Saccharomyces cerevisiae S288C: one gene and its partner. The gene in region 1 interacts genetically with each later gene. Each region holds a gene or a part of one and is shown in the gene's direction. Other genes may lie near its edges.

What was found. A genetic interaction does not mean that the proteins touch.
Region 2: mutations in GDH1 (region 1) and HKR1 impair growth when combined (synthetic growth defect), as found in Saccharomyces cerevisiae (one large-scale study listed by BioGRID).

Annotation. Positions count from the first base shown.
Region 1 is NC_001147.6:1,040,559-1,044,910, reverse strand, and holds GDH1 (glutamate dehydrogenase (NADP(+)) GDH1), read left to right. Parts: upstream 1-1,868; coding exon 1,869-3,233; downstream 3,234-4,352. Other genes in the region: YOR376W (uncharacterized protein), read right to left, coding at 1,352-1,720; aldehyde dehydrogenase (NADP(+)) ALD4, read right to left, coding at 3,512-4,352. UniProt on the Saccharomyces cerevisiae protein: Catalyzes the incorporation of an ammonium ion into alpha-ketoglutarate to form L-glutamate, the major route of assimilation of ammonia into an organic form in yeast.
Region 2 is NC_001136.10:1,304,440-1,312,484, forward strand, and holds HKR1 (Hkr1p), read left to right. Parts: upstream 1-1,827; coding exon 1,828-7,236; downstream 7,237-8,045. Other genes in the region: RAD30 (DNA-directed DNA polymerase eta), read left to right, coding at 1-633; ARO80 (Aro80p), read left to right, coding at 7,601-8,045.

The DNA of each region.
Region 1 (4,352 bases):
TTCCATTTTCTTCTGCCATTTCATCTTTGGAGTAACTATTATTTCGCCCCTTTTGTTTGCTGCATATCGCCCCGCTCTCTGCATACACGATTGGATAATGACCAAAGCAAGGTTTAATACGCCCACAGTTAGATATCTATAATTTTAGAGTACGATATTCATCATCATAGGCTGAACCTTGCCTTTCCTTGCATTCTTTATTCCCATTGAGGTATATTTTAAAATTTGTTCGGAGGTAAAGAAGGATAAGCTTTTCTAGTAATTTCCCTCCTCGATCGGCCTCAGATTTCCCGTCATAAAATATACGCGCCATGGAGAGATTTAATGACATAGATGTGCCGCAAAAGCATACACAGCGTATTTTCTTTGAGTATTTAATAGGTAAGCTAAGTTTCGTAGCTCGTTAGTAATATTACTCTATGGATTCTGTGCCACTTCTTCAAACAGGGCGCGAAAACCTTGAAGAAGCAGCGCACTTGATGCCCCTAGTGAGAGTCACGTGACGGTTATCCCATTTAAGGTATTCCTGTTGCGACCCCTCTCACACAGATATATCTTGCGGCTAGAGATAGGTTGTGATTAGGAATAGATCTGTAGATGTCTAGAGGAACGGCTAATGATTGGAAACGTCCGAGGAACATGAAGAAAGACGTAAAGTGGTAGCAATTCCGCGCTTGTAACTTGCGTGGCATGACCAGAAAGCCCACTTCTCTATCTGATTGGAAACCAAGTTTCTTCGGAACAATCTCTGCTTCAAGAACCTGCAATTTCGAAAATTTTTACCAAGCCGTCGGCTCCAATCGCGTAAGTGCAAGAAACTTTGCGTAAGCTGATCTTAGATCAGCACTCAAAGCCTTCATATTCTACCAAGAATGACAGCTTCCCAAGTTATTCTGTAAAGTGTAATCTCGCATACAGTAGTTCAGCGACAGAAGCTTCGAAAACTTCTCTTAATGATGGACTCTTCGACAGTAACAAACTAGCACACCGAAGCTCCCGACAAGAAGGAGATGAACTTCTTTAGGTTCAAGTCCGCTAAACTCTACAGTGATTCTGTCCAGCATTGGCTTTTTTTCTTGAATTATTCTAGCGGGCTGTGGCCAGTATACCAACCGAGCCAAACCATATTAGTAACTCCATTCAGTATAAAGTGGCACTGCTTCATGGGGCTGCGATAAAGAGTCCTAGAAGACCATGCGTTCGAGTCGATCTGGGCACCACTCCGCATCTGGGCATAACCTGAATTATACAACAATAACGTGGGGGAGGGCATCGTTTACGATTGGCTGGATAAGAGGATTTCATAAGGAATATGATGCTACATCCACTCAGGTCATTATTCTCTAGTGTATCAGGCTCCCCTTATGCAGGTTCCATGACTCCATGGAAACGGGCCTGATCTTAATAACCTTATCTGACCATCTGATTGGATGGCCTCGATATTCTTATCGCAGAACCAATGCGCCGGAACCGGCCCATGCATTTTCAGTGCGGTGGGGCAATAAAAAAGAAATAGTACGACCCCACGTCCAATCAGCAGAGAGAAGCTGTTATCAGCTGCTGCGCCGTTTTCTTTTTCATCAGGTACCATAATGAAAATCAGCACTGAAAAATTGCGGAAGAAGAAAGCGTAAGAAGTAGCAGCAAAGGCCGGCTTCTTGTTAAAGCAAAGTATACGTAATCTAAGTAAGAGAAGATTGGAAAATTTTCTGTTTTTCATATATAAAATATACGAGAGTTACAAATGCGTTTACCCATTTTATATTCTCTCACTCTTTAAATGACTTTTCTTATAGCATTGAAAGTTGCTTGATACGTACTATCGCATTATTCTAATATAACAGTTAGGAGACCAAAAAGAAAAAGAAATGTCAGAGCCAGAATTTCAACAAGCTTACGAAGAAGTTGTCTCCTCTTTGGAAGACTCTACTCTTTTCGAACAACACCCAGAATACAGAAAGGTTTTGCCAATTGTTTCTGTTCCAGAAAGAATCATACAATTCAGAGTCACCTGGGAAAATGACAAGGGTGAACAAGAAGTTGCTCAAGGTTACAGAGTGCAATATAACTCCGCCAAGGGTCCATACAAGGGTGGTCTACGTTTCCATCCTTCCGTGAACTTGTCTATCTTGAAATTCTTGGGTTTCGAACAAATCTTCAAGAACTCCTTGACCGGCCTAGACATGGGTGGTGGTAAAGGTGGTCTATGTGTGGACTTGAAGGGAAGATCTAATAACGAAATCAGAAGAATCTGTTATGCTTTCATGAGAGAATTGAGCAGACACATTGGTCAAGACACTGACGTGCCAGCTGGTGATATCGGTGTTGGTGGTCGTGAAATTGGTTACCTGTTCGGTGCTTACAGATCATACAAGAACTCCTGGGAAGGTGTCTTAACCGGTAAGGGTTTGAACTGGGGTGGTTCTTTGATCAGACCAGAAGCCACTGGTTACGGTTTAGTTTACTATACTCAAGCTATGATCGACTATGCCACAAACGGTAAGGAATCTTTCGAAGGTAAGCGCGTCACCATCTCTGGTAGTGGTAACGTTGCTCAATACGCTGCCTTGAAGGTTATTGAGCTAGGTGGTACTGTCGTTTCCCTATCTGACTCCAAGGGTTGTATCATCTCTGAAACTGGTATCACCTCCGAACAAGTCGCTGATATTTCCAGTGCTAAGGTCAACTTCAAGTCCTTGGAACAAATCGTCAACGAATACTCTACTTTCTCCGAAAACAAAGTGCAATACATTGCTGGTGCTCGTCCATGGACCCACGTCCAAAAGGTCGACATTGCTTTGCCATGTGCCACCCAAAATGAAGTCAGCGGTGAAGAAGCCAAGGCCTTGGTTGCTCAAGGTGTCAAGTTTATTGCCGAAGGTTCCAACATGGGTTCCACTCCAGAAGCTATTGCCGTCTTTGAAACTGCTCGTTCCACCGCCACTGGACCAAGCGAAGCTGTTTGGTACGGTCCACCAAAGGCTGCTAACTTGGGTGGTGTTGCTGTTTCTGGTTTAGAAATGGCACAAAACTCTCAAAGAATCACATGGACTAGCGAAAGAGTTGACCAAGAGTTGAAGAGAATTATGATCAACTGTTTCAATGAATGTATCGACTATGCCAAGAAGTACACTAAGGACGGTAAGGTCTTGCCATCTTTGGTCAAAGGTGCTAATATCGCAAGTTTCATCAAGGTCTCTGATGCTATGTTTGACCAAGGTGATGTATTTTAAATAGTCTAAAAGAAAGAAAAGAGGAAAGTTCATAAAAAGTTCTTTCTTTTTTTTAAATAACTTAGATAGATAATGAGATAAAAGAAGTAAAAAAACGGAATCGTAACGCAATTAATTAATTAAGAAAATTGATTATCGGGAGAAAAAAATTTTATTTTTTATTTTATTTTCTTTAAAGTACATATATTTGAAATGATGACATGTGGAAATATAACAGAGACAGAATATTTAATTTTATGTATGTAAGCATCGATTGGACACCAGGCTTATTGATGACCTTACTCGTCCAATTTGGCACGGACCGCTTTAACTTGCAAGTAGTTTTGTAAAGCATCAACAGACATTTCCCTGCCCAAACCAGATGCATTGAACCCACCGAAAGGAACTGCGTGGTGGAAATCGTTATAAGTGTTTATCCAGACCGTACCCGCATTAACTCTATCAGCCACTTTTAAGGCGGTATTAATATTAGAGGTGTGAATACCAGCAGCCAACCCGTATTCAGAATCGTTCGCCATGTTAATGACTTCGTCGGCAGATTTGAATTTGGTTACAGTGACAACAGGGCCAAAGATTTCCTCTTTGACAATTCTCATGTCTTCCTTAACGTCACCAAAGACAGTTGGCTTAATGAAGTAACCCTTGCTACCTAATCTTTCACCACCGGTAATCAAAGTAGCACCTTCATTCTTACCAATGTCAACGTATTTCAAGATTTTGTTTAGTTGCATTTGAGAGGTTTGTGCACCTTGGAAAGTAGATTCATCGAATGGGTCGCCCACCTTGATGGATTCAGAAGCGGCTTTGAACTCTTCAATGAATTTGTCGTAAATAGATTCTTCAACATACACCCTTGAACCCGCACAACAGACCTCACCAGAATTGTAGTAGATACCAAGGATAATGTTTTGCACGGCTTTTTTCAACTCGGCGTCCGCGAAGACAATGTTTGGTGATTTACCACCCAGCTCCAAAGTCACTTTTTTCAAGCCTGCGGCTGCGGACTGGTAAATGTGTCTACCCGTAGCCGTGGACCCTGTGAAGGCAACCTTTTTGATTTTTGGATGGTTTGTAATGGCCTCACCCACAATCTTACCAAACCCGGATACAATGTTGATC
Region 2 (8,045 bases), on another chromosome or scaffold:
CTTACGTCCAGGATTCAGGATCTGGAACAGGAGTATAACAAGATCGTAATACCAAGAACAGTATCTATATCTTTAAAAACAAAATCCTACGAAGTATATCGAAAATCAGGTCCAGTTGCGTACAAGGGCATCAATTTCCAGAGTCACGAACTCCTAAAAGTAGGCATAAAATTTGTCACGGACCTTGATATTAAAGGAAAGAACAAAAGTTATTACCCTTTAACAAAACTAAGTATGACAATTACTAATTTCGATATTATAGATTTACAAAAAACTGTTGTAGATATGTTTGGCAATCAGGTCCATACTTTCAAAAGCTCAGCAGGCAAGGAAGATGAGGAAAAAACTACCAGCTCGAAAGCTGACGAGAAAACTCCGAAGTTGGAATGTTGTAAATACCAGGTGACTTTTACAGACCAGAAGGCTCTTCAAGAGCACGCAGACTATCATTTAGCATTGAAACTGTCGGAAGGCTTAAATGGTGCTGAAGAATCATCCAAAAACCTTTCTTTCGGGGAAAAAAGATTGTTGTTTTCACGGAAAAGACCAAACTCACAACATACTGCCACACCTCAGAAGAAACAAGTTACATCTTCCAAAAACATCTTATCATTTTTTACAAGAAAAAAATGACCTATTCCAAATAGACAATTATATGGCTTCAGCAACTAAAACGTCCTGATAATATTGCTTTTCCAAAATTTCTAAATGATTCACGGGCGCCAGGTTTTGTTGATAAGAAGAACGAAGTACCTTTAATATCTTATGATCGGAAAATACCGACTGATGACTTTTGAGACTTCGCTTTTGATCAAAGTGATAACATTATGTACAATATTCATACTAGGATTTCTTGATAGAGATTTGGAAGTCTATAAAAAAGAAACAACTTGTTATAATTTATTTTTGTAGACATGACTCACAGAATATTACATACCTTCATAATATATAAGATCCATGTGATAATGAATGCTGGAAGCATGATCTCTGACCTCAGCTGATTGTTCAGGGGACTTAATCAATTAGATGCGTTTAAAGCAGGAATTGGTTTGATACACACAATCTCATGTTACAAAGTAACGCTGTTTAAAAACAAATCTGAAGAATAATAATGCAAGTAATATTATACATCATAAAAAAGTTATACACTATCATTACTCTTCTGAAGACCAGATTACAATACAAATTAAGGCAACTTGGCCGAGTGGTTAAGGCGAAAGATTAGAAATCTTTTGGGCTTTGGCCCGCGCAGGTTCGAGTCCTGCAGTTGTCGTTATTTTTAATGTTTTTATTTGGTAGCAACAAAATTTGTCAGTCAATTTCTTTTGTTTTTTTCTTTAAAAGGTGTAACAACGTTATCACTCAAGTATTCGTTTCTTATTATCAAAAGTCTTAGACTTTCTATTAATAGCAGTTTGTTCTTTTCCACAACGCGCTAAAGATATTTCGCTTTCTGACCCGTTTGGTTGCAGAAAATTTTTTTAACTAATTTAGGAATATTTAGATTAGTTAATTGGAGGGCTTATTCAAAGACAGTAGTTACAGCGATTTAAAAGCAGTGTCCCTCGTAGGCACCTGTAGTCATTTCATTCGTTTGGATATTTCGCTGTACTGCTTCCTGCATTGTAATCAAGAGAAAGTTTACAACTTAGAGCACTAACTTTGTTTGTAAACATTTTCCGTTTATAATCAATTGCCATATCATCAATTTTATTATCATTCTTTAACCAGTAACTAACTGATTCCGCACCCACATTATTGAAATTTTTGCGATATCTTTTTCCTCAACTGACGCAGTCAACAGTCAGAAACAGAGAATGTATAAAGATGGTCTCATTGAAAATAAAAAAAATTTTACTCCTGGTGTCATTGTTAAATGCAATCGAGGCCTATAGTAACGATACAATATATTCAACTTCATACAATAATGGAATAGAAAGCACACCCTCATATTCAACATCCGCGATATCCAGTACCGGATCTAGCAACAAAGAGAATGCAATAACATCAAGCTCTGAAACCACCACAATGGCTGGCCAATATGGTGAAAGTGGAAGCACAACAATAATGGATGAACAAGAAACTGGTACGTCCAGCCAGTATATTAGTGTGACGACGACAACGCAAACTTCTGACACGATGTCATCAGTAAAAAAGTCTACGGAAATAGCGACACCAAGTAGTAGCATTGTACCCACCCCTTTGCAGTCCTATAGCGATGAATCACAAATATCACAAACGCTTAGTCACAATCCGAAGTCCGTGGCGGAGTCAGATAGCGATACAACCTCCTCGGAATCCTCAAGTAGCGTAATAATATCCACATCCGATAGTTCAGCGGTACCGAGGGAAATAAGTCCAATAATAACCACAGATTCTCAAATTTCCAAAGAAGAAGGCACATTGGCTCAAACTTCCAGTATCAGTGAAACAACGAGAATTGCACAAATGGTAACCAGAGTTTCACAAATCTCCAGCATAACGGCAGCTTCAACAATAGATGGCTTTAGTAGTGAATCAACACAAACAGATTTTTCCAACACTGTATCGTTTGAAAATTCAGTCGAAGAAGAATATGCCATGAGCAAATCCCAGCTCTCTGAAAGTTACAGTTCAAGTTCAACCGTCTATTCTGGAGGGGAGTCGACTGCAGACAAGACATCTAGCTCCCCCATTACCAGCTTTTCATCTTCTTATAGCCAAACAACGTCAACTGAAACCTCTGAGAGCAGCCGAGTGGCTGTTGGAGTATCCCGGCCCTCTAGCATAACGCAAACTACATCAATTGATAGTTTTAGTATGAGTGAAGTAGAGCTTTCCACATATTATGACTTAAGTGCTGGCAACTATCCTGACCAAGAACTGATTGTCGATCGCCCGGCCACTTCTTCCACTGCCGAAACATCTTCAGAGGCAAGTCAAGGTGTAAGCCGTGAATCTAACACTTTCGCAGTATCTTCGATTTCCACGACAAACTTTATAGTTAGCAGTGCTTCGGATACTGTTGTTTCAACTTCAAGCACCAATACAGTGCCATACAGCTCTGTCCATTCAACCTTTGTTCATGCGACTTCCTCGTCGACTTATATTTCTTCTTCCCTTTATTCTTCCCCATCCTTATCTGCATCCGTTTCCTCTCACTTTGGCGTTGCTCCTTTTCCATCTGCTTACATATCTTTCTCATCAGTACCCGTTGCAGTATCCTCGACGTACACGTCTTCACCATCGGCTTCTGTTGTAGTACCTTCTGCCTATGCGTCTTCACCATCAGTACCCGTTGCAGTATCCTCGACGTACACGTCTTCACCATCAGCACCTGCTGCAATATCCTCAACGTACACGTCTTCACCATCGGCACCTGTTGCAGTATCCTCGACGTACACGTCTTCACCATCGGCACCTGCTGCAATATCCTCAACGTACACGTCTTCACCATCGGCACCTGTTGCAGTATCCTCGACGTACACGTCTTCACCATCAGCACCTGCTGCAATATCCTCAACGTACACGTCTTCACCATCGGCACCTGTTGCAGTATCCTCGACGTACACGTCTTCACCATCAGCACCTGTTGCAATATCCTCAACGTACACGTCTTCACCATCGGTACCTGTTGCAGTATCCTCGACGTACACGTCTTCACCATCAGCACCTGCTGCAATATCCTCAACGTACACGTCTTCACCATCGGCACCCGTTGCAGTATCCTCGACGTACACGTCTTCACCATCAGCACCTGCTGCAATATCCTCAACGTACACGTCTTCACCATCAGTACCCGTTGCAGTATCCTCGACGTACACGTCTTCACCATCAGCACCTGCTGCAATATCCTCAACGTACACGTCTTCACCATCAGTACCCGTTGCAGTATCCTCGACGTACACGTCTTCACCATCAGCACCTGCTGCAATATCCTCAACGTACACGTCTTCACCATCGGCACCCGTTGCAGTATCCTCGACGTACACGTCTTCACCATCAGCACCTGCTGCAATATCCTCAACGTACACGTCTTCACCATCGGCACCCGTTGCAGTATCCTCGACGTACACGTCTTCACCATCAGCACCTGCTGCAATATCCTCAACGTACACGTCTTCACCATCGGCACCTGTTGCAGTATCCTCGACGTACACGTCTTCACCATCGGCTCTTGTTGTCCTGTCATCTACTTCCACATCCTCTCCATATGATATTGTTTACTCTCCATCAACTTTTGCTGCCATATCATCCGGTTACACGCCTTCACCTTCTGCTTCTGTCGCCATGTCATCTACTTCCTCATCCTCTCCATATGATATTGTTTACTCTCTATCATCTTCTGCTTCCAGATCGTCCATTGCTACATATGAATTTTCACCTTCCCCATCTACTTCTTTACCCACCTCTTCTACTTACACATACTTTTCATCTGCTTATGCGTTTGAATTTTCTTCTGAGCGGTACTCAACAACATCCACAATAGCACCAACTCAAATACATAGCACATTGTCCAGGATTACGGATTTCTTACTGCAGACTTCGATGGCAATCCAAAGTATAGTCTCTCAGCAAATTTCTACAAGCTCAACTTTAAATGACGAAATACATTCAAGCGCGCTTTCCGTTTTCAACCCTTCAGCTTCGAATTTGGTTGAAACTTCTCTGATAATTTCATCGACCCAAGCAAGCATAACAAGCCCCAAAAACTCAGCTAAAATTAGTTCACTACAGAGCCAGCTGTCTAGCAGTACAAAAAATCCATACGATACGGCGAACAAGAATACTGAGACCAGTGGCAGATCCACAGTTGTTTCGAATTTCCTATACACATCTTCCGCGGCGAAACCAGACAATGAAAAGTTTTCCGCTACTCCTACAGAGATAACTACAATTTCAAGTAGCTCGCACGCATATTCTTTATCTATTCCAAGTTCTCATAATTCTGTGACTGGACTATCACATAACTTTGTCGATTCGTCAAAAAGTGCAACCTCATTTGGCTACTCATCCTCATCAATATCTTCAATAAAACTTTCAAAAGAAACAATACCTGCAAGTAAATCTGTTTCAAACACACAAGAAAGAATCACAAGCTTTACATCAACATTACGAGCAAATAGTCAGTCTGAAAAATCCGAAGGGAGGAATTCTGTAGGTTCTTTACAAAGTTCACATATTTCATCTAACCCATCGCTCTCCACAAATACAAAGGTTGATTCGAAAAGTTTATCCAGGAAAGTATCGAAAACCATGGGCGAAAATGGCGAGGAAACCGGCTTAACCACAACAAAGACGCAATACAAAAGTTCTTCTGAAACCAGTGGGTCATATTCTCGGTCTTTTACAAAAATCTCAATTGGACCTGCTACGACTGCAGTTCAAACTCAGGCAAGCACTAATTCAGTATTCACAGCCCCTGCCTTGTCTACCTATCCTACTACTCCGTACCCCTCTCCAAATAGTTACGCATGGTTACCTACCGCTATTATAGTGGAATCATCCGAAACGGGCCCCACTACCGCATCATTCAATCCGTCAATCACTGGTTCACTTCCCAATGCAATTGAACCGGCCGTCGCTGTATCGGAACCCATTAACCACACTTTAATTACCATCGGATTCACGGCCGCTTTGAATTATGTATTTTTGGTTCAAAATCCATTATCTTCGGCTCAAATCTTCAACTTTTTACCTCTCGTTTTGAAGTATCCCTTTTCAAACACCTCATCAGAACTGGACAATAGTATTGGGGAATTATCCACTTTTATTCTTTCATACCGGTCTGGGAGCAGCACAACTACCCTTTCCCCAAAATCCATATCATCATTATCAGTTGTCAAGAAAAAAAAAAACCAGCAGAAAAAAAATGCCACGAAGTCAACCGAGGACTTACATCCTCCACAAGTCGACACATCCTCAATAGCGGTGAAAAAGATTGTTCCCATGGTAGACTCTTCTAAGGCATACATTGTATCAGTTGCAGAGGTATATTTTCCAACAGAAGCCGTAACATATCTTCAGCAATTAATCCTTGATGAAAATTCGACTCTTTATAGCAATCCTCAAACCCCACTGCGAAGTTTAGCTGGTCTAATAGATAGTGGGATCCCATTAGGGGGATTGACGTTATATGGCTCTGGAGATGGTGGTTATGTCCCTAGTTTAACCTCATCAAGCGTCTTGGATTCTTCAAAAGGAAATTCCCAAAACATAGATGGAACTTACAAGTATGGAGCTTTGGATGACTTTATCAATTCATTCACAGATTCTGCATCTGCAGGAAAGTATGCTGTAAAAATAATCATCTTTTTGATTGTTTTAACTATTGGCGTACTCTTGTGGTTATTCGTTGCATTTTTTGCTTTCCGTCATAGAAATATATTATTGAAAAGACACCCAAGGAACTGCATAGGGAAAAGCCTCAATAATGAGAGGGAACTTGAAAGTACCGAGCTTTCCCGCTCTTCTTCTGGAAACCAAGTTTATAATGAAAAGCCGCCAGAATCTGAAAATGAAAGTGTTTACTCTGCGGTAGATGATCATTATATTGTGACTGGCGAAAACACAGTCTATAATACTATTCACAGATTACATTATACCATTAATGATGACGGTGATCTATTGTACAGGGACGCAATCCCCCTCGATTTTGATCAAACCAATGGGGATGATGGTTCGGGAATAGACAGTATAGTAAGAGACTGCGTGTATGACAAAAACCAAGATGCTACGGAAGCCTTCTTGAATGATGAGGAGTCCATATCAGGCATTCTAGATGTTGATGAAAATGGTGATATTCGATTATACGACAGTTATTCTGACAATGAAGAGTCAAACAGTTTTCACTTGCCAGACGAAGTTATTGAAAACTATAACAAGAACCATTTGTGCGAAACTAAACTTCATGGACTAGGCACTGAATCATGTACTACAGATGATCCCGATACTGGAAATCAAATTACGAATGAGTTTTCTACAGGGAGTCAGACATGTTTGCCAAGTACCGCTTATACCACACCCCTTCATACAAATTCGATTAAACTTCACACATTACGCTACACAGAATCTTCACTACCAAAGCCAAATCAGACTCTTTTCTCTAATCTTGAAGATTTAGAAATAGAGGATATTGACGACAATGGTAGTGTTTCAGATGTACATATCGAGGAGCTGGATGCTTTAGACGAAGAACTTTATAAGAGAATGTCGAAAGTTATAAAACAACAGAACCATCAAACGACAAAAATATAGCGAAAAATGATTATTGACTGTGCAATAAACGCTGCTGGAAGGGGCGCTTGCAACAAAAGATGATCACAAAAATTGATACCCATTAATACACATAGGCTCACGCCATTACTATTATTATATATATCATCAAGTATTGCATTTGTAATTTTATGAGTCCTTCTTAGTAATACATGAAGGCTTTTTTTTAATATTTTCGGAATCAACGAGAGTACACTATTCTATCCGATGATAACCGAGATAAATGAAGATAGTAACTAACCAATGAAAAAAGAGCGAGAATAAATTAAAGCAATAATATCAAGTTAGTCGTGGGAATATATGATCCACGCATAATAAGGTTACATTAAGCACTGCTTTATCCTCTATGTCTGCTAAGAAAAGGCCTTCGGGAAACGCAGCATTTGAACTTCCAAAACGGAGAAGAACCTACCAAGCTTGCATCAGCTGCAGATCAAGGAAGGTGAAATGTGATCTTGGTCCGGTTGATAACCCACACGACCCACCGTGTGCACGTTGCAAAAGGGAGCTAAAAAAATGTATTTTTAGCTCTAATAAGGGAACTTCGAACGACTTGCCTCCTAATTCGATTAATGCAATAAGTCTGCCATCTCTAGGTAAGAGTAAGCAAGAGATACAAAATGACTCAACGAGCCCAATTTTATCGGATGTACCTTTGTCAAGAAAAGGGATTAGCAGTGAAAAATCATTTAAATCAGAAGGGATGAAGTGGAAGCTTGAACTTTCCTCCATGCAGAACGCCCTAGAGTTTCTGGCCCAAGCTGCTGGAACTGTAGCAAAAGAAGGCGCAA